Linked DNA regions of Drosophila melanogaster. The protein of the gene in region 1 interacts with the protein of each later gene in a pairwise test. Each region holds a gene or a part of one and is shown on either strand. Other genes may lie near its edges. The genes, in order: CG34396 and AOX3.

Region 1 (10,188 bases):
CGAAACAATCAATCAGTTCATAATGACAGCTCCAAATGCACATTTAATAAGGTATCGTATTCTTATTAAATATTAAATCTCGACTTTGGCTGTCAGACGAAAAGTTTGGTAAATTCGATTTCGTTTTAGCCGGCTTTTCCTCTCGTTGGGTCAAGAACCTCGTATTTGAAGCAACAGAACGAAAATTACAGGCTCGAAACAAAGGGCAAAAGCCGTAAAGCTAAGTGAAGTTAGGCTAATATACATATTAGGGTGGACCTTTTTCTTAATGCTAAAAACAGCAGTTGGAAGTACACCGAATAAACTTTGTTCATTTGATCAAAAGAAAGTTATATATGGTCAGTTAGATGGCGGGTCTCTTTTCTGCTTGAGCTCTACTCTAGTCAAATCATATTTTTTAATCACTTCTCAAGCTTTAAAGGTTCACCCTAATCTACGCAAGTAACTTATTAGAAAAAGTCGGTGCGTCACATCCTTTTTTTTTGGCCGAAATGTTTCTTTTTACGACTTGCGTGAGGAAAAGCTTGAGCGATTTGCGGAAAGCAAATATTATATTCATATGTGGAAGTAGTGAACAATTGTGTGACTTATTGCTGGGCATTATCCTGCGGCTCAGTTCCTCGCGAAGCTGAAGGACTCGTCACCAGGCGGGAATCGATTTTGTGGCCTCGCTTAATGGTATTCCATGGGTGATGGCAATACGAAAACAATGCCAACGAATGGTATTGTGTATATTTCTAGTTGCGCTGTCTGTCTGTGTTCCTATGGGGATACTATAGAATCCTGTCTGCCTGGACATATCTGTGTGTGTGTGTGTGTGGGTAGTTGCCCATAGTGACGCAGGACACCAATCAAAGAAAGGATACTACATTGTGGGTTAGCTGGCGTCCAGGCCGAAGACTTTATTAATCCTTTGTGTATATTTAGCGACCACTTTATGAGTTGACTGCCATATATCTTTCTGTTGATTTATGCCAAGTGCAAATTGACTCCGTTTTTTTGTGCCACATTCTCTTTTTTATGGCGGATATAACTTTGTGTTGGCTTAAGCTCGAGAAAATGACCCAAAACGATTGTTCGGAAGGATTAATGTTCTATGCTAACACGTTCAAAGAAAATTAGCTTGACTCAGCAAGTGAATATTTATCATATTTATACTCGCATTTGAAAATGAATGTGATAAAGCAAACATTATTCAAACAAGCTGCTTTAAAATGGTAATCACGAAATGTGTTAATTCATGGGAATTTGTGAGATGATTCAATGTGAATTTATAATTAAAATTAAAATTCAATCAAAATGAAATGCGCTCCCATGGCTTCCACTTATTTTCGATTTCTTTCAAGCTATTTCATTTGTAGCTGAAATGACTTGGCATAATGTTTTCAAAATGTCCTCCCATTCGAAGAAGCTGTCAATAGCTGCTCAATGTTTTATAAGCCATAGCGGCACGAAATCGAAGTAACTCGAAGGACCCAGGACCTCCCACACTTGGCAGCCCAACTCAACCACATCGAAGTGATTCGATTTATGAGCCAGTGGGTGGAGTAGGGTGCCTTTTGGTTCCGTGCCACTCAACATAATTAGGGCCAATGACAATCGAATCGGACTGCAGCAACTGCACCACCACCAGGAGCTTCGTTTCGATTTATTTGGACGCCGTTGCCAGGACAACGGACGAACACCTGGCCACGAGCAAACGGGCACAACAAAACCACTTGGAGAAGGCGTTAAGCCACTTGGGTGTTTCATTTTCCTTTTTTTTTTGTTGCCTTTAAGGGGTGGCACATTTAGAGCGGTCAACTTTGAGGCCAAAAAGTGAACAATTCCGTGTAATGCCGGCTGATGGCCCCTTTTCTGCTGGCGCTGATTGCTATGGGCTGCCCGAGTTTTCCAAGAAAGGAGTGGATTTTCTTGTTTCTAGACCACATTCACGAACCGTCGGGCTGGAAGAGTTAAAAGGCCAGTGCTAACTTGCCTTGATTCATGGTCAATTGAAAAAAAGTTCTTAAAGAATTCTTAGCTAAAGCAAAAGTTTAATACAAGTAGCCATTAAATTGTTCATAAATTTCGCTGTCGTATGTATAGATTGGTTTTGTTATAATATAGGATCGTTGGTTTAATGTGTCCACTTTATGAAGATTATCAAACACAATGGATATGAATGACACATTTAAAGAAATTCAAATTTCAGAGATTACATTATCAAAGATTATAGGTTTGGTAAAATCTAGAAAAGATCTGCCAAATTGGAGTGTTGGGTTTACCTGCTGTTCCATTTTCTGATTACGACTGTTGATTCCGGACATTTTTGCAGTTATGGCTGTAGATTTCAGAAGGCAATCAAAATCCTCTGACGATTTTCACTTAACTACGCGCGATTCAGATGATCCGATGAAGAGGCATTTGGCAAATATTCGGGAGTGACAGCTGTTTTGGGATTTGCGTTGAAGAGCGACTTTTCGAATGCGAATGAATGCAGCAAAACAAAAACCGATGGGGCACCAAAATAATTGAAGAAGAATCTATGAATTTAGCACACCTGGCGTCAGTTTGTATGGTATGGTATATATTTTGTAGTTTGTGGTAGTGTAGTACGGCAGCACACGCGACAACAAAAAAATCAAGGGGTGTTCACGAGGGTGAGGATTTGTAGACTGAAGCCAACAGCCGGCTCTTCCTGTTCTCGCTCAATTTTTTTTGTACCGACGCGATCGATCGGAATTCTCCGGATCGCTGGCACTGAATGTTTGCTTTAGCCACTGAGCGAGTACCGCCTGAATATGCATATATTTATAATGTTATACAATCTATGTTGTTTGACAAACACTTTCGTGCCCGTTGAGTTGCGTGTGATATTGTCCAATTGATTGAATTTGGCGCCTCTTTATTTTGGTAGAGGAGAGAAGGCGATGTAACCCGTCGACCGAACCGCACGCTGCCAAAACAACAACTGGGCGTCCAACAGAAGCCGTCAACTCAGGCGAAGTGCTCGTAGCGGAACGGAATGGAAACGGAACATGCACACGAATGCCAGCCGAAGCAGGAGTGCGAAGCATGCCATCCTGTCGTGTGTCAGCGAAAGAGAGGCAGAGAGAACCACAACTCGCTCTCAATGGGAATGGGTCTCTCCCTCTCTCCCTCTCTCTCTCTCTCTCCGCACAACGCCTCCTGTGGCTGCTTCCTCTTCCATTTCCTACGAGCGACAGATGTGCAGCTGCCGACTGCGACTGCATTTGGATTCGCGCCCCCGACTCCCTGTTACTGGGATTTTGGGATGCATTCCCGTACAAAGCATACGCATCTGGCAATTCGATTCCGGATTGAGCAAAAAACCACGCTGATAACAGGATAATAGAGTGTTGAAAAATTATACAACTTTATGATTATGATCCTTAAGCGGAATTTACAACAATTAAAAACATCAATTTGCGTTGTCAACTCGCGCGCTTTATTTCATTAACATTAGACTTATGCTACGATGATGGTGAGTAAAATTAAATAACAAATAAATGAATATAGAGTTTCGCGTTACGGTAAATTCGATTGAAATTGCCTTGTCATTTTTGAGGTTTCTTACACGTTAACTTTGTCGGTTTTTTTTTTGTTTGGAGGCGGAAGATCCCAGGGATTCTAGAAAAACCTGTGCTTTTTCTTCTTCTTGTTCTCCCCCTCCGCCGGCGGCTGGGGATCCACGGAAACCTGACGCCTGGGCAGCAGAGGTGGCGGAGTAACATCCCCAGCTCCAACAGCATCGGCTCCAACTCCATTAGCATCCACTCCATTGGACGCCGGCGATAGAGGACGCGGTGCGCGCAGGATCGAGGTGAGTGGTGGCACCGGGGAGTGGCCATTGCCATTCGCCTCCTGGCCATCCTCCTCGATCCTGTCCAGTCGCGAACCGTGCACCGAGGCAAGCTCGGAGGGAGTCTTCACCTGGGAGCCGCCCTCATCACCAAGCTCGCTGGTCATGTTCATGCCAATGGTGGCGCCCACTTTGGCGCTGGCCATTTTGAAGTGATCGCTCAGCTTGATCTGCACCACATTGATGAACATGGAGGTCAGGGCCAAGCCGAACATCAGATAGATCATGCTGACCATTACGTAGAAGGGATTACTGGGCACCAGGTCGCCGAACCCAATTGTGGACATCGAGATGAACACGTAGTAGAAGGCATCCAGTGGAGTCCAGCTGGGCTCCATCATTAGAAAGCCGAAGGATCCTAGGAGGATGTACGTAATGAGCAGCAGCGAGGCCACCGACACTGGCAAATTGAACTCGTCGTCCACCTCGAAGGTCTCTGGATAGGGTGATGTGGGTGTCTCCGGGTGCGAGGTGCCCACCGATCTTGCGGCCTCGGCATCCGCCTGCGACTCCTCATCGTTCTCTGGCGCAGAGTTGCTGAAGAACATGCTCGGCCTGCGGATGGCCATGTCGTACATCGTATTGAAGCCTGTCATGGCGCTCCGGATCTGCTGCTGCTTTCGTATCCGGCGGCAGGAGCGCGTGTAGTACATCCGTCGCACATACACCCACAGGAACTTGACGCAGCGCGTGAATAACTTGCCCAGATCGGCCAGCACGATCAGGAACATGGGGATGCCGATGATGGCATAGACGATGGTCAGGGATCGACCCATGCCCGTCTTTGGAGTGATGTGGCCGTAACCTGGAAAGGAAGAGAAGAAGGCATGGGAGTTAATAAGTTAAATATGACTAACTAAAAAAAGAACCTAAAATGGAAATATGCTCATATATAAGAACTAACGAAAGGATTTAGGAGTTTTGGATGGTTATGGGTCCATTGTAACCCATTACCTATAGTTGTGATCACGGTCCAACAGAAGATGAAGCAATTGACAAAGTTCCAGGACTTTTGGCCCGGATAGCGGCGTAGTCCCAACTCGGCTAAATTATTTAGTTCATCCTCGAAGCTGCGCAGCTTCTGGCGGGCAAGAGACTTCCAGTCCTCCTCTCTGGCAAAGATACAAATGAATCACTCACAGAACTGGGCTACCACTTGGCACCATTGGTACTACCTCATGTTGTGGCTGACGTCCCACAGTCGGTCTATGAAATCCCGCTTCACCTTGCGCACCTCGCACTTGTATATATTCTCCGCTGCTCCTTCCGTGTACCGGAACAGGAGTCCTCCGAATCCCAGAAGCATAGCCATGCAGATGAGATAGGCAATGCACCTGTTGCGTAGCTGACGCAGTTCCTTCACCTTTTGGGGATAGTCCAGCTTGAGGCGTTTCCATTCATGCCGGGCTTCTAGGCTGAAACTGTACAGCAGACCCCTGGAGGCCAACTTCTCCAGTGGCAATTCTGTGGACAGATCTGTGACATCTTCGCCCTTTGCCTGAATCTTCTTCTTTCGCCTAAACAGATTTTTCAGCCGCTGCCATAAGGTAACTTTGGGTTTCGCCTCTGAGATGGATTCCTCTGGCAACAAGGGTTGATCCCCAAGAGATTTTGGTTCCGTATCAGCTTCATTTGTAGTAGTTCCCTCAAGGAGCTCTTGAGTTACCTGTTCCTTTCTTTCCAAACTGCCCGATCGCTTGGGTCTTAGTGGACGCTCCAAACTGGAGCTGCGCTTTTGAGGCTTCTCTTCCTTATCCGCTAATCTCAAGCTGTGACTGCGACGCACTCCCTCCGCCGTCAGGATTTGCTCCGCCAGGGCGGCCTCCGCTTTTGCCGCCCGCTCAGCGGCCTCCATGTACTTTTGCATCAGCTCCGACTGCTGTTCTGCCTCCGAGATGCGGGGCTTTATCACCTCGTCTCTGGACTCGCCCACCTCCAAGTACTCGTGCTTCCGGAGGATCTCCTCCCGTTGCTCCGGAGTCTTGGATCGTCGCTGTGGTCTCACGGGCGACAGGGAGTTGTTGCGACTCACAGACAGCCTTTCCGGTGGTTTTGGAGCTGTCGACGCCGATGGCGGCGGTGGAGGTGCGCCGCGGATTGGGGCTGCCACAAAGCCCTGGGGAATCTTAGGTGCTCGGGGCCGCGGGTGAGTCTCCTCCGTCGCATCGGCATCGGAGGAGCTGAACTGGGTGGAGGACTCATCGTAGCCGCTACTTCGATTGCGACCCCGAGTCTTGGGCGCCTCGTGTCGCTGCAGACGCAGGCTGTGGATGAGGCGGCGCCGTTCCTCCTCGTCCTGCGGCAGCTGGATGCGATCGCTGAGCTTGCGGTAGCTCTGCAGGAGGCGCTTGCGCTCCTCGTTGTCCAGCTGCTGGCGATGGCGCATCTTGTGCTCCCGCTTCTCGCGCTCAAAGAGCCTCTTCTCGGCCTCGAAACGCCGTCGTTCGTCCTCGAAGCGCTGCAGATTCTGCTCCAATCTGCTTAGCGTATCCTGTGTCTGGCCAAGATTAGGAATGGGCCTTTGCTGCTGACTACTGCTGCCGGTGGTCAGCTCACTCTCGCTGGACTCCTCCTTGTGCCGCGGCGAGGAGAGGCTGCGATGCTTGATCAGATGATTGGCATCCGGACTACTCAGCTTCTCAGCCTCCCGTGGCTGCGATTGACTACGCGCCGAGGAGCTGGCGAAGGACTTGTCCCGCTTTCGCAGGATCTTGCTCTCGTGGGCGGACATCGAGCCGGGTGGCCTGATCTGCATGCGCACCATCTGAGGTGATGGATCAGGGAGGGCATCCGGACTGGCATCGTCCTGGGGCAGGGCGTCTCCAGTGACGGGCGTCGGTTCCCGGTGGCTGCGACCCAGGCGCCTTCGATGGCGCTGCTGCTGCCTGGCGTCCATCGGCTGCTCCATCTTGTCCAGCCGCAGTCGTGTGCTACTTTCGCGATCTATCTTTGTGCTCGTGCTCGTCATTTAGCCATCTATTAATCTATTTTTAACTGCCCAACGAGGCGTTCATATTCCACATATGAAAATATGCCTCGGGTAATTATATCACTTTCGATTGCAATTTCGTATTATATGTATGTATTGTGCACTTTCTGAAACTTTTAAAGTCTGCACTTGTCCGAAAATTTTTGAAATTATTTTGCTATATTATCTATTTGCATATAGAATTTTATGTATCTGCTTCTTTCGACGTCGCGACACGATCGAATAGATTTAGCTTCTATTTCTCGCTTCCTCGTCCACGGCTGGCATCCAACTGCTCTCAGCAGTTGGAGAAAATTCAAATATTCATTTTCACTTTGCTTGTCTATATTTTTGGTAGATGTCTCAACAGCTGTTCGGCTATAGATATCTATATATATATATATCTATAATGCATCCGATGATGTTTTTGATGATTCTCTCTTACTCAATGTTTTATGTTCTCTTAGTGAATATTTAATGCTTATAAAAAAAGCACCAGGAATTTGTCTTAGTTAAACGATCTTCATTAAAACTATTCATATGCATAAAAAAATAACTGTTTTTAAAAAAAAAGACTAAGAAATTAATAATCAGGTCGATTGTTAAAAATAGTTTTAAATAATTTTATTGAAATAGAAGTTTCAAAAAATCCGCCCCTTGTGCCTAGTGTGACCGTATAATATACAACCGTATATACTGAAACACATGGCCGTGGCTATCGATAAGTCGATAACGAAATTTGAATTTCTTCCGTCTCTAAATATTTTGGTTGATCGGAACGCGCACGTGTTTTTGCGTTCAATTTTAATAATATTTGAAAATGGGATTTGGTAAACCTCGTGGCGGCGGTGGCGGCGGCGGAAGAGGCTTCGGTGGAGGCGGAGGCGGAGGAGGACGAGGATTTGGTGGAGGTGGAGGTGGACGAGGAGGTGGCGGAGGACGCGGAGGTGGCGGCGGATTCGGTCGAGGTGGAGGTGGACGTGGTGGCGGCCGTGGAGCCTTCGACACTGGTAAGTGAATGAAAGTCGCCAACTATTCCTATAACTAATCATCCAAACTAAGCTAGCCTGTGAACTAAGGCTAACTACGTCACTTAAAACAAGCAGTTAATACAGATTGTGCGAATAGAATTACAATAACCACGTTGTTCTCTCAAATTTTGAATAGCCAAGCCGTTGTAGGCTATAATCATGGGCTATATATATAAATATATTAGCTAAAAACACATCTGGAAGTCTCCTATAGGTATACGCTGTCTTAAATGCTTGCTATGTTCAGGCAAATTGCCAAATACTCATTTCCATTTTGTCACTTTAATAATATATCTTATTTTTTTAATTGTAGGTCCACCAGAGAGAGTCATCCCCTTGGGCAACTATGTTTACTCCTGCCAAAACGACCTTGTGTGCAAAGTTGATATTCAGGATGTTCCCTACTTCAACGCGCCCATTTTCCTTGAAAACAAGGAGCAAGTAGGCAAAATCGACGAAATCTTTGGAACAGTTCGGGACTACAGCGTGTCCATCAAGCTGTCGGACAACGTCTACGCCAACAGCTTCAAGCCAAATCAGAAACTGTTTATCGACCCTGGAAAGCTGTTACCCATCGCCAGATTTCTGCCGAAACCTCCACAACCAAAAGGCGCCAAGAAAGCCTTCACAAATAACCGAGGTGGAGGCGGCGGTGGCGGTGGATTTGGAGGCCGAGGTGGCGGCCGCGGAGGAGGTAAGATAGTGAATTTCATGAGTGCACCCCAAAGTCCTAACTTGTGTTTATCAACAGGTGGTCGCGGTGGTGGCGGCGGACGAGGTGGAGGCGGATTCCGAGGAGGTGCTGGTCGCAATGGAGGAGGTGGCGGCGGCGGCGGTTTTAACAGAGGACGAGGAGGCGGTGGCGGCGGCGGCGGTGGTCGGGGTCGGTGGTAGTTTTCAGTATCAGATCCTAATCAAAACATTTAAAGAAGTGTACAATCCAATTGTTGTACATGTCCAAATAGTTTCTAAGCAAAACCTCATCATTTGGGTATTGTTCGCTGACCAATCAATCGAATATTGTACCATAAATGATACTAAAATAAATTTCCTACAAATTTACAAACATGATATAACTGAAAACATATAGTTAATTGAAGTTTAAGTGATATTTTATCATTTATGAAGACAGTTAATTAACAATAGAATGTCAAACATTTGCTCACTTATTGAGAAGATAGTGGTTTATAACGAAAAATGGTTTTGTGTGAAAATAATACATTTGATTAGAGCACCTTAATGATTTATATGAAGTGGTTGCACAACTATCATCGTCTAGAATTTGGGGATCAATAATGTATCGACTTTATGAGAGAATCGCACTCATCCGAATTCCCTTGAAATTTTATGAATTCTTCGAGGTTTGTTTAAAATGCCCAATACTATTCGGTATGGGGGTTTCCTTCCGCTTTCCAATTGCCGTTCGATTCATGCATATAATTTGTTAAATTTGCAGCTGTTCTCTTCTCGAAGAACGAAGAAACTTTTGTGTAATTATATGTGCCAAAAATCGAAAATGATTTCTTTTTGCCTTCTCATATATTATCTTTATGCCCACTGACGTCATTGTGGGCTCAAAGTATTTCTGCACTTTCAAAATACAAATAAATTAAAATTTCTTGTATAATTTTCATCAGATACTTTCCGTAGCCCCTTTGTGATCGATCCTCTCCCCTGAAACGTTGATGACGGATCGTATTCGCTTTTATGGAATTTCGCTGTGATTTCGTATTTGTTTATTTCTAGGCAATTTCATTCAACATTTCCGAATTGCCTTCGCGATTTGTTTTCCATTTGGGCATGCACCATTTTATAGAATTGTCGGCCATAGAATGATTTCAGTAAGCGTTATTTTAATCGCAGCAGCAACAGTTTTATGATTTCGCATGATGATTATGAAGTGTTTTCCGGTTTATCGATCTGATAAATCAATAGAAACCAGTAATAAACAAGATACATTATATGTTTATATCTTACAAGTCACTCAAGTAAATATTTTATGGTGAATTGTGTAATATTTTTGTGTCATCTTTTGCTTAAATTAGCTGCACACTAAATATAGTGAGCTTAAATTTAAATACTCAGGTGAGTCACCGCAGACCTCCAAGGCAGACTCTCGATTTCAAATTAAGTGCGCTAGATCATAAAAAAAAATCCCATTGAGGTTCTACGTTTTGTTTATACATATCTGTGCCAATTTTGACAAGTTGATTATACCGAATGCACTCAGCACTCAGCACAATTTGCCATCCTGTTTACAAGGCAGCAAATTGTGTCGTCGCATTGTGGCAATAATTTGGCAATTTGTGTTAATTGCTTTTGCG
Region 2 (12,089 bases), on another chromosome or scaffold:
GGGTCTACAGGAGATCCCCCGACATAAAGCATTTCATTGATGTGAATGGTGTGGAGGATTTGCATCAGTACAGCTCAGATAAGGAAAAACTAACCTTGGGCGCTAGTCTCAGTTTGACCGAAACGATGGAAATAATACAAAGCACTTCGAAGCAATCAGGATTTGAGTATCTTGAGGTCCTGTGGCACCACATCGACCTTGTCGCCAATGTTCCTGTTCGAAATGTAAGCAACCTCATATGTTATTAAAACAGTTTAATATTTTAAGTTTCAGTCTGGCACTTTGGCAGGCAATATTTGTACCAAAAAGGAACATCCCGAGTTTCCATCCGATATATTTATATCCTTTGAAGCTCTGGATGTCAAGGTTGTTGCAATGAAAGGCATCGACGATGAAAAAGAAATGACTTTAGAGGAATTTTTGGGTGATACGGATAGAAAAATGCTGCTCAAGGCCTTCATTCTCCCTAGATACCCCAAGGATATGTATATTTACGACTCCTTCAAGGTAATATTGTTCGGAAAATCTTAATATCTAAAATTTGTAAAATTATTCATATATCGGTAGATCATGCCAAGAGCGCAAAATGCTCATGCTTATGTTAATGCAGGATTTCTTCTGGAATTGGATGGCAACTCAATGGTGAAATCTGCCCGTATTTGCTTTGGTGGAATTCGACCGGATTTCATTCATGCCACAGATATTGAACAGTTAATGGTGGGTCACAGTCCCTACGAATCAAATTTGGTGGAACAAACATTCAACAAGCTGGAGAGTCTGGTCAAGCCGGATGAGGTTCTACCCGATGCCAGTCCCGCCTACCGTTCCAAATTGGCCTGCGGACTGCTCTACAAGTTCCTCTTGAAACACGCCCCCGATGCGGAGGTCAGCGGAAAGTTCAAGAGCGGCGGTGAGCTGCTCCAGCGGCCACTCTCCTCCGGCTTGCAGCTCTTCCAGACCAATAAACAGACCTACCCCGTGACACAGGGCGTGCAGAAGCTGGAGGGCATGATTCAGTGCTCCGGAGAGGCCACATATATGAACGATGTGCTGACCACTTCCAACTCCGTTTACTGCGCCTTTGTGGGCGCCACAAAGGTGGGAGCCACCATTGATCAAATCGATGCTACGGAAGCTCTCCAACATCCAGGAGTGGTGGCCTTTTACACTGCGAAGGACATTCCCGGAACGAATACTTTCTGTGAGCCCAGTTTTGGTTACGAAGCGGAGGAGATTTTCTGCTCTGGAATGGTGCGCCACTCGGAACAACCAGTGGGTGTAATCGTGGCTCTTACTGCTGACCAAGCCCAAAGGGCAACAAAGCTTGTCAAGATCAGCTATAGCAGCCCCAGTTCCAACTTCAAGCTGATGCCGAGTTTGAAGGATGTGTTCTCCTCCGAAACTCCAGATACTTCTCGCATTATACCCTTGGTTATATCAAAGCTTAAGGAAGTAAAGTTTTCTGACAAACCTGATTTGGAAGTGAGGGGCATATTCGAGATGGGACTGCAGTATCACTTCACCATGGAACCGCAGACCACTATTATTATTCCCTTTGAAGATGGACTAAAGGTCTTCTCGGCTACCCAATGGATTGATCAGACTCAATCAGTGATTGCTCATACCCTGCAGATGAAAGCCAAAGATGTGCAACTAGAGGTAAGACAAATACTTAAATAAATTTTTGTCTTATTATTTGAGTACTTTCGTTGCAGGTTCGCAGATTGGGTGGTGGATATGGCTGCAAAATATCCAGAGGTAACCAGGTTGCCTGTGCAGCCGCCTTGGCTGCCCATAAGCTGAATCGTCCCGTTCGCTTTGTCCAATCCCTGGAGTCCATGATGGATTGCAATGGAAAGAGGTGGGCCTGTCGTTCCGAATATCAGTGTCACGTGAAGACCAGTGGCAGGATCGTCGGGCTGTCCAACGATTTTTACGAGGACGCTGGCTGGAACACGAACGAGAGTCCTGTGCAAGGACACTCCACTTTCACAGCAGCCAACTGCTATGAATTCACCGATAGCAACTTCAAGCTGAGTGGTCATGCTGTTCTTACGGATGCCCCAAGTTCCACTTGGTGCCGTGCTCCTGGATCAGTGGAGGGCATTGCTATGATGGAGAACATCATCGAGCACGTGGCATTCGAAATCCAGAAAGACCCAGCCGAAGTGCGACTAGCAAACATTAGTAAGAAGAGTAAGATGGCAACCGTCTTTCCAGAGTTCCTCAAGACTAGGGAGTACTACTCCCGGAAGAAGGAGATCGAGGCATTCAATGCCAACAATCGATGGAAAAAAAGAGGCTTGGGTCTCTCCTTGATGAACTTCCCCATTATCTACATTGGGCAGTTTCCGGCAACGGTGACTATTTACCATGTAGATGGCACTGTTGTGGTTACCCATGGGGGCATAGAAATGGGTCAGGGTAAGTAAGGGAGCAGACTTTTATAGGATTTGTAGTGATTACCTCCTTTATGCTTTATAGGTATGAATACAAAGATAGCTCAAGTGGCGGCCTATACCCTGGGAATCGATTTGAGCTACGTGAAAGTGGAGTCCTCAACTAGCATCAATGGAGCCAATTCAATGGTCACTGGCTATGCCATCGGAAGCGAGAGTGTCTGCTACGCAGTCCGTAAGATCTGCGAGACGCTCAATGCCCGATTGAAGCCAGTGAGGAAGGCCAAGGCCACTTGGGTGGAGACTGTGGAAGCGGCCAATGCCCAGTTGATCAATCTGATAGCCTCGGATCACTACAAGACCGGCGACATGCAGAACTACCATGTGCTGGGACTTGCCCTTTCCGAGGTGGAGATCGATGTGCTGACCGGCAACATTCTGATCAGGCGGGTGGACATCCTAGAGGACGCCGGTGAGAGCCTGAGTCCCTGGATAGATGTCGGTCAGGTGGAGGGCGCCTTCGTCATGGGCCTGGGCTACTGGCTCAGCGAACTGCTCATCTACGAGGGCGACAATGGTCGCCTGCTGACTAACCGCACATGGAACTACAAGCCGTTGGGTGCGAAGGACATTCCCATTGATTTCCGCGTGGAACTGGTCCACAATCCACGACCGAGTAGTTCGGGTTTCATGGGCTCAAAGGCCACCGGAGAGCCTCCTTGCTGTTTGGCTGTTAGTGTGATTTTTGCACTTCAACAGGCTCTGCAATCAGCGCGCCAGGATGCAGGACTTCCTCGGGAGTGGCTTCGCTTGGGGGCACCCACAACTCCAGAGACTCTGCTACTAAATGCCGGACACCAAGTCTCGGAGTTCAAGTTGAAATAATGTCAATTAAATATATCGAAGAGCGGATAAACATATTTTAAATGCAAAAAGTATCGTCAATATTATAATCCAAAAATATACATTTTACGCCAATTAAAAATCTATCTACATATGCAATTAATTAATTTTAACATAACTTGCATTCCATTTTTTATTCATATTTATTCATTTTGCTTAACTAATCGTTTTTCTCAATGTATTATGTCATCCAAAGCTTGATATTCTAGTTTTTTTTTCATCCGGAGCTTTCAAAATGATTTATTTGTTTTGAAAGCTCCAAATTCCGAACAGAGAGAAAAACTGTATGTTTTTTCGCCGGCCGGCTAAATCGTTCTCTTTACATTTATCGCGGCACTCTCTTTTATTTTTAGTGTACACGTGATTCGCTTTGCCGGTTTTTTTATAGTTCGTATCACGCTCGTCACGAATTAAAAGCATATTTGCGAGTCTGCCCATTTGGAATAGTCATTATTATACATACAATACCTTGAAAATATTTAATTCATATGTATCTAATCAAATCATAGGCATATAAAATTAAAATGCAATCTTAGTTAAACAGAGGCTTTCTCTGTTGATAGAGTAATTATGTGACTCAGCAATATTTCTGTTCATTTCATTGGCAGCTACTGCATACCCTATCAATTGCATTTAATTGGTGAGATACAATATATTAATACTTTTTAACTATTACATTTGGAAGTTTCATAGCGCGGAAGGGTATCTAAAGTGTACATCTGCCGATTCTATGCCCCCTTTGCACAGCTATTTTTACAAACATCGAAAATTTGCCGACGAATTGGGTGGCAAAGCAACAAGCAAAATTCGGCGGCACCAGTTTTTTTTTTGATTTTTTGCGCATAGAGACTTCGAGTCGAGGCGAGGAGCAACCAGTCCACAATTTGCAATTAACGTCGATCGTCGAGCTCGACAGGCTGCTCAAATCGTTGTTGGCTCTCACGGAGTGTGTCGAAACTAACTTTTTTTTTTTTGTTTACGGCATTCGAGAAAATCGCAATCTAAAAACGGAGGAACCTCTACTCGAGCCCCAATGTTTTGATCAGTCAGTCGAACAGCAACACTCGCAGCGACCGGAGCAAAAAGTGAGCAGCAAATGGAAAATAATGGAAAGCCACTGGCCAAGTCGCAACTAATTGAATTATTTATAGAAAACACTTCAGCAGCTGACATTTTAGTTTTTGCTACGCCGTTTTTTGCTGGAAAACTATCAGAATGACTACGAAATTCTCAATCAATGGGCTGCCCTATGCAGGTGAGTTATACATACATATGTAGCTACATATGTATGTATCATGGTGATTATCGACTATGGGCCAGAAAATCAGTTCACGGCAATACTTCACCATCAAGTGCTTGGTTCTCGTAACTTATCAGTTAGCTATAAAGTTACATATATGTACACATTGTAGATACCCTAAATACTAGAATTTTCTCTAATGAGAGTGTTTACTTCTGAACGTTGCAACGCCTCTAGCTTTAAAGCAGGTGTATCATTAAATTCGCCAGATCTCAAAATCAAGTGGCTGTGGAACTCGAATAACATTAATTGAAATTACATATGTATACACATATGAACACGCAGCTGGTAAACAAATTAGTGTGCAAATTTGAGGCCCATTGTTCGATGTTTTTTCACAAGCTCACATTCAGGTTTTTGTAATTAATTATACCCATACTACTATATGCGCTTCATCTCCGCTCCATCACTCGTTGTACTCCTCAGTGAATCTAACTAACCTTCCGCCGGATATCACTCTGAACACCTTTATCCGCGAGCATGCCCAACTCACGGCCACCAAATTCATGTGCCAGGAGGGAGGATGTGGCGCCTGCATCTGCGTGGTGCGCGATGGAAAGCGCAGCTGGGCTGTCAATTCGGTTGGAGCATATTCCGTGCAACTAACCCGATCGATCTCTAATGAATTACCTCTCTTTAGTGCCTCACTCTGCTGAATACCTGCGCCCAGCTGGAGATCGTGACCGCCGAGGGATTGGGCAATCAGCGCACCGGCTACAATCCCATCCAGAAGCGTCTGGCCAAAATGAATGGCACCCAGTGCGGCTTTTGCTCGCCGGGATTCGTGATGAACATGTATGGGTTGATGGAGCAGAACGAAGGCAAGGTCACCATGGCGGAGGTGGAGAACTCCTTTGGTGGGAATATCTGCCGTTGCACTGGATATCGTCCAATTCTGGATGCCATGAAGTCCTTTGCGGTGGACAGTAACATTGCGATTCCCGCCGAGTGCGGGGACATTGAGGATCTAAAACCCCGGAACTGCCCAAAGACCGGACAAGCCTGCAGTGGTAGCTGCCTTCCGTCCACTTTGGTCTACGAAGATGGTGTTCAGTGGCACTGGCCCAAGAGTCTAAGCGAACTGTTCGACGCCCTAGACAAGGTGAAGGACTCGGAGGAGTTCATGTTGGTGGCTGGCAACACGGCTCATGGGGTCTACCGAAGGTCGACGGATATCAAGCACTTCATCGACGTCCAGGGAGTGGAGGAACTGCATCAGCACAGCTCTGAGGGACAGCAATTGAAGCTAGGAGCTAATCTCAGTCTCACCCAGACCATGGAAATCATTCGTACTACTTCAAAGCAGCCAGGATTTGAGTACTTGGACGTTCTGTGGAACCACATTGATTTGATTGCCAATGTTCCAGTGCGAAACGTAAGTAGATTTGTTTTGATTAGTTTGAGTTATACATTTATTTTCGTATCGTTACAGTCTGGAACTTTGGCTGGCAATATTTCGATCAAAAAACAAAATCCCGAGTTTCCTTCGGATATTTTCATATCCTTTGAGGCCCTGAATGTTAAAGTGGTAGCTTTGAAAAACGCTGCTGATGAAAAGGAAATGTCCCTTGCAGAATATCTGGGCACAAATGATAAAAAGCTGGTGCTCAAAACTTTTGTTCTTCCTGCCTACCCGAAGGACAAATACATTTATGAGTCCTATAAGGTATACAACTTAAGCTAACTTTGGAATATATTTTCTTATACTTAAACCTCCGCAGATCATGCCTCGTGCCCAAAATGCCCATGCTTATGTCAACGCCGCTTTTCTCCTAGAATTGGAAGCCGACAACAAGGTGAAATCTGCTCGAATTTGCTTCGGTGGAATCCGTCCAGATTTTATCCATGCCTCAGCTATTGAGAAACTGCTGGTGGGACAGAATCCCTACGAATCAAGTCTGGTGGAGCAGACATTCACAAAACTGGAAGATCTGATTAAGCCTGATGAAGTGCTGCCGGATGCCAGTCCCGCTTACCGTTCCAAGTTGGCATGCGGACTATTCTACAAGTTCCTTCTGAAGCACGCACCCGTAGCTGAGGTTGGCGAAAAATTCCGAAGCGGAGGGCAGATCCTGCAGCGGCCTCTCTCCTCTGGATTGCAAGTTTTTCAGACCCAGAAGAAGAACTATCCCGTCACCCAAGCGGTGGAAAAAGTCGAGGGCATGATACAGTGCTCTGGAGAGGCCACCTACATGAACGATGTCTTGACCACTTCTAATACGCTGCACTGCGCCTTCGTGGGCGCCACCAAAGTGGGCTCCACCATTGATTCTATCGACGCCTCCGAAGCCCTCAAGCAACCTGGAGTGATCGCCTTTTACAGTGCCAAAGACATTCCCGGCACTAACACTTTCTGTGAGCCCAGTTTTGGTTTCGAGGTGGAGGAGATCTTCTGCTCGGGATTGGTGCGCCACTCAGAGCAGCCAGCTGGTGTAATCGTTGCTTTAACTGCTGACCAGGCACACAGAGCCGCGAAGCTGGTCAGGATCAGCTACAGCAATCCCAGTTCCGACTTCAAGCTGCAGCCGAGCTTAGGAGATGTATTCGCATCTCCAACTCCGGATTCCTCTCGCATAGTGCCAGCATCGAAATCGACATCCAAGAAGATCAAGTTCTCGGAACAGCCGGACAAGGAAGTGAGGGGCATCTTCCAGATGGGTCTGCAGTATCACTTTACCATGGAGCCCCAGACAACTGTGGCCATTCCCTTTGAGGATGGTCTCAAGATCTTTTCGGCCACTCAGTGGATGGATCAAACCCAGTCTGTAATTGCCCATATGCTGCAGGTGAAGGCCAAGGATGTTCAACTACAGGTATGTGTAATATCTGAATTATCATCTCCTGAATCTAATTCCAAATCTATTATATTCAGGTTCGTAGATTGGGAGGTGGCTATGGATCAAAGATCACCCGAGGTAACCAGGTGGCCTGTGCAGCTTCATTGGTTGCTTACAAGCTAAATCGTCCCGTTCGCTTTGTCCAATCCCTGGAGTCCATGATGGATTGCAATGGCAAGCGGTGGGCTTGTCGCTCCGACTACAAGTGTCACATTAAGGATAATGGCAAGATTGTGGGCTTGACGAATGATTTTTATGAGGACGCTGGCTGGAGTCCGAATGAAAGTCCCATTGAGGGTCATTCGACCTTCACGGCCGTCAATTGTTATGATTTGAACGGAGATAACTTTAAAAACAACGGAAATGCGGTGCTAACAGATGCGCCCAGTTCCACTTGGTGTCGTGCTCCGGGATCGGTGGAGGGTATTGCCATGATTGAGAACATCATCGAGCACGTTGCCTTCGAAGTTCAGAAAGATCCGGCTGAAGTTCGTCTTGCAAACATTGCGGCGGGTAATAAGATATCCGAGTTGCTTCCCCAGTTCCTTGAGTCTAGGGAATATGCCCAGAGGAAAAAAGAAATTGAGTCCCATAATGCCAAGAATCGTTGGACGAAACGAGGTCTCGGATTGGCGGTAATGGACTACCCCATTTTCTATTTTGGCCAGTACCCGGCTACAGTTGCCATCTATCATGTGGATGGCACTGTTGTGGTTACCCATGGAGGCATTGAAATGGGACAGGGTAAGTAAACAGCCCACTTAAGATACTATTTCATTGATAACATATTGATTTTCCTATAGGTATGAACACTAAGGTGGCTCAAGTGGCTGCCTACACCCTTGGCATCGATTTGAGCTTCATCAAGGTGGAGTCCTCCGACACCATCAATGGAGCCAATTCGATGGTCACCGGAGGAGCTGTGGGCAGCGAAAGTCTCTGCTATGCAGTTCGGAAGGCCTGTGAGACCTTGAACAGTCGCTTGGAGCCGGTGAAGAAGAAGGATGCCAGTTGGATTGAGACAGTTGAAGCTGCCTATGGCAAATCGATCAACCTGATTGCCTCTGATCACTACAAGAAGGGCGATATGCAAAACTATCATATCTACGGTCTGGCCCTAACCGAAGTAGAGTTGGATGTGCTAACTGGAAACAGTCAGATCAAGCGCGTGGATATACTGGAGGATGCCGGAGAGAGCCTGAGTCCCTGGATAGACATCGGTCAGATTGAGGGTGCCTTTGTCATGTGCCTGGGCTACTGGATGAGTGAGCAGCTGGTGTACGACCGGGAAACAGGTCGCCTCCTCACCAACCGCACCTGGAACTACAAGCCGCCGGGTGCCAAGGACATTCCCATTGATTTTCGCATTGAGCTGATTCAGAAACCCAATCCCTCTGGGGCGGGCTTCATGCGGTCGAAGGCCACTGGAGAACCACCCTGTTGTTTGGCTGTGAGTGTGGTTTTCGCCCTGCGACAGGCCCTGGATTCAGCCCGCCATGATGCAGGACTACCGCGGGAGTGGGTGCGTCTGGGTGCACCCACAACTCCGGAAACTCTGGTGGTCAATGCAGGACATGAAGCAGCCAGTTTTAGGCTTAAGTAAATATGTGGTTTTGATCGGCTTCTGTCCCATTTACATATACATATGGTTCTTTCTTTATACATATATTTGAAATATTATTAAAGTTTTTATATTGAAATGCATTTGGTTGCATTGTTATAATCAAGTTAAATATCTTGGTGGGATTATCATTCGTACGTGACATTAACAGCTCTTTCAAATTTTTGACTCATTCATATTGTGTTTTATGACAAAACGATAATTCTGGAAGTTATCACTTTAAAAACCATAAAATAGTGTTTAGCGGAATTTCTATTATAAATCTGTCAATTAAGTGCAAAGCATCAGCAAAAACTTAGTAAGTTTCGCAGAGTGCACGGTTTCGCTCAGTGTATGCTTTAGATGGCACTTTAATCTGCTCCAACCCGTTTAGCCTAATTAACGGGAAATCAGGTTTCAGCAGCGCTTTGAAATAGAAACGAATGACCAAAAGAGCTCCATTCGACCGACGACTGTGCAGCGATGAGCATCAAGTTCAATGTGAATGGCTTTCCGTACGAGGTGCAGGCGGCTGACTATCCACCGGACACCACCCTCAACACCTTCCTGCGGGAGCACCTGCACCTGACGGCCACCAAGTACATGTGCCTGGAGGGCGGCTGTGGCTCGTGCGTCTGCGTCATCCGCAGGCGCCACCCGGTCACCCAGGAGGTTCAGTCCAGGGCAGCCAACTCGGTAAGAAGTCACTTTTCGGGGAGTGGCTTTCTCCACACCTGAATACAGCGAGCAATAAAAAGTTAAATTTGTAATTACTAGAATTAAAATATAATTAAACTATGGGTTATTTCTGCCCATTCCACAGTGCCTGACGCTTCTGAACACCTGTGACGATGCGGAGATCATGACGGACGAGGGACTGGGCAACCAACTGAGTGGCTACCATCCCATTCAAAAGCGCGTGGCTCAGATGAATGGCACCCAATGTGGCTACTGCTCGCCAGGATTCGTGATGAACATGTACGGATTGCTGGAGCAACATCGCGGGCAGGTGAGCATGTCGCAGGTGGAGGACGCTTTCGGTGGAAACCTCTGTCGCTGCACCGGCTATCGACCCATTCTGGATGCCATGAAGTCCTTCGCGGTTGATAGCAACGTTGAGGTTCCGGCGGAAAGTGTGGACATCGAGGACTCCTTCGAGCTGCTCTGCCCGCGAACTGGACAATCCTGCAAGGGCAGCTGCTCGAGACCTCCGTTGAGGGATCATGGGGATAGTCAGTGGTACTGGCCAAAGACTCTAACGGAGCTCTTCGGAGCCCTTAGTCAGGTGGCGAACGGAGAACTCTACATGCTGGTGGCCGGGAACACCGCCCATGGAGTTTACCGGCGACCCAGGGACATCCGACACTTCATTGACGTGAATATGGTGCCGGAGCTGAGGCAGTACAGCATTGAGACGGATCACCTGCTGCTGGGCGGTAATGTCACTCTCACGGATGCCATGCAAGTTTTCCTGCTGGCTGCCAAGAGGCCCGGATTCGAGTATTGTGCCCAGTTATGGCAGCACTTCAACCTGATTGCCAATGTGCCGGTGCGAAATGTGAGTAGAGTGCTCCATAAAACCAGAAACCCGTTTCGGCGCTTGGCGAAGACGAAGATTAGCGAAAATAATAGTAGTTTTTGACAATTGAATGCTCTTTCTCCCGTGAAACGCTTATTTAAAAACTTATTTCAAGGCCAGTGAATTTTCGATTTATTATTCCACCATTGAAGTATTGTTCGTTTATATAGCAAAGTTAATTTACTTCTTAAATCACAGGCATTGCCTTGAGTTACTGTCCAGTTTTCTAACAAAAGCAATCAACTCTTAGCACAGAGAACATTTTAGCTTAAAAACCCATTTTACTTTCACAACAAAGATAGTAAATCAATTCAAGTCGCTGCAGACACTGAAAAAAAAATTTAGAAATGAAAAATGAAACAAATTGTAAAATATTATTACTTAAATAATTTATAATTAAATTTTCACAGAATGGCACACTGGCGGGCAACATAAACATCAAGAAGCAACATTTTGAATTTCCCTCCGATGTGTTCATCACATTTGAGGCTCTGGATGTCCACGTCCTCGTCTACGACAATCCCAGTACCCAAAGGGTGATGAACCTGCTGACGTATCTCGGTGATACAACCTCCAAACTGGTGCTGGGTGGTTTTATCCTAAAAGCCTATCCAAAGGACAGATTCCTGTTTAGATCTTATAAGGTGGATGAACTTATTCCTAAAAATATGAATTTAGTTAACTGAATCAATCTCCTCTCCAAACAATAGATCTTGCCCAGAGCGCAGAATGTTCATGCTTATGTGAATGCAGGCTTCCTCATTGAATGGCAGGACATTCAGCACAGGATTGTCCACTCCGCACGCATATGTTTCGGCAACATTCGACCAGATTACATACACGATGACCAAGTGGAGCAACTGCTTCCTGGCAGGGATCTGTACGATCCCGCCACAGTTGCGCAGATCTTTCAGGAACTCCCAGCTAGCTTGCAACCCGAGGAGCGTCCTCCGGAGGCCTCCCCGGAATATCGCCAAATGCTAGCCTGCTCCTTGCTTTACAAGTTTCTGCTGGCCACCGCACCCAAGGAGCGAGTTCGGGAGCGTTTTCGGACTGGAGGCTTGCTACTGGAGAGACCACTTTCCTCGGGAAGCCAATCCTTTGAGACGATTAAAAAAAACTATCCCGTCACGCAACCAGTTCAAAAACTAGAAGGTACATCGTTTAAGAAAACCCTTTTCCATACGTGGTATTATTATTATCGATTTGGATTTCCAGGTCTCATTCAGTGCTCTGGCGAGGCCACGTATATGAACGATCTACTGACAACCTCAAATGCCGTCCATTGTGCGTTTGTAACTGCGAAGAGAGTGGGTGCCACCATTGAGCAGATCGATCCTTCTGCTGCCCTTCAGTGCAAGGGAGTGGTGGCCTTCTATTCGGCCGAAGATATCCCAGGCTCCAACAACTTCGTTCTGGTGAATCAGCTTACACCTGAAGTGGACGAGGTCTTTGTTGCCGGGCGAGTCAA

What was found.
Region 2: the proteins of CG34396 (region 1) and AOX3 interact in a two-hybrid assay, tested with the Drosophila melanogaster proteins (one large-scale study listed by BioGRID).

The regions. Positions count from the first base shown.
Region 1 is NT_033778.4:21,094,697-21,104,884, reverse strand, and holds CG34396 (uncharacterized protein), read right to left. Parts: upstream 7,128-10,188; 5' UTR 6,774-7,127; coding exon 5,041-6,773; intron 4,978-5,040; coding exon 4,820-4,977; intron 4,671-4,819; coding exon 3,634-4,670; 3' UTR 3,432-3,633; downstream 1-3,431. Other genes in the region: ktub (king tubby), read right to left, coding at 2,268-2,309; Gar1 ribonucleoprotein, read left to right, coding at 7,654-7,843, 8,178-8,558, 8,616-8,758.
Region 2 is NT_033777.3:15,539,823-15,551,911, reverse strand, and holds AOX3 (aldehyde oxidase 3), read left to right. Parts: upstream 1-3,723; 5' UTR 3,724-3,942; intron 3,943-3,995; 5' UTR 3,996-4,387; intron 4,388-4,453; 5' UTR 4,454-4,517; coding exon 4,518-4,557; intron 4,558-5,028; coding exon 5,029-5,183; intron 5,184-5,242; coding exon 5,243-5,977; intron 5,978-6,034; coding exon 6,035-6,268; intron 6,269-6,323; coding exon 6,324-7,415; intron 7,416-7,474; coding exon 7,475-8,183; intron 8,184-8,242; coding exon 8,243-9,042; 3' UTR 9,043-9,164; downstream 9,165-12,089. Other genes in the region: AOX4 (aldehyde oxidase 4), read left to right, coding at 1-224, 274-507, 568-1,659, 1,716-2,424, 2,485-3,284; AOX2 (aldehyde oxidase 2), read left to right, coding at 9,523-9,735, 9,863-10,597, 11,029-11,262, 11,329-11,773, 11,837-12,089.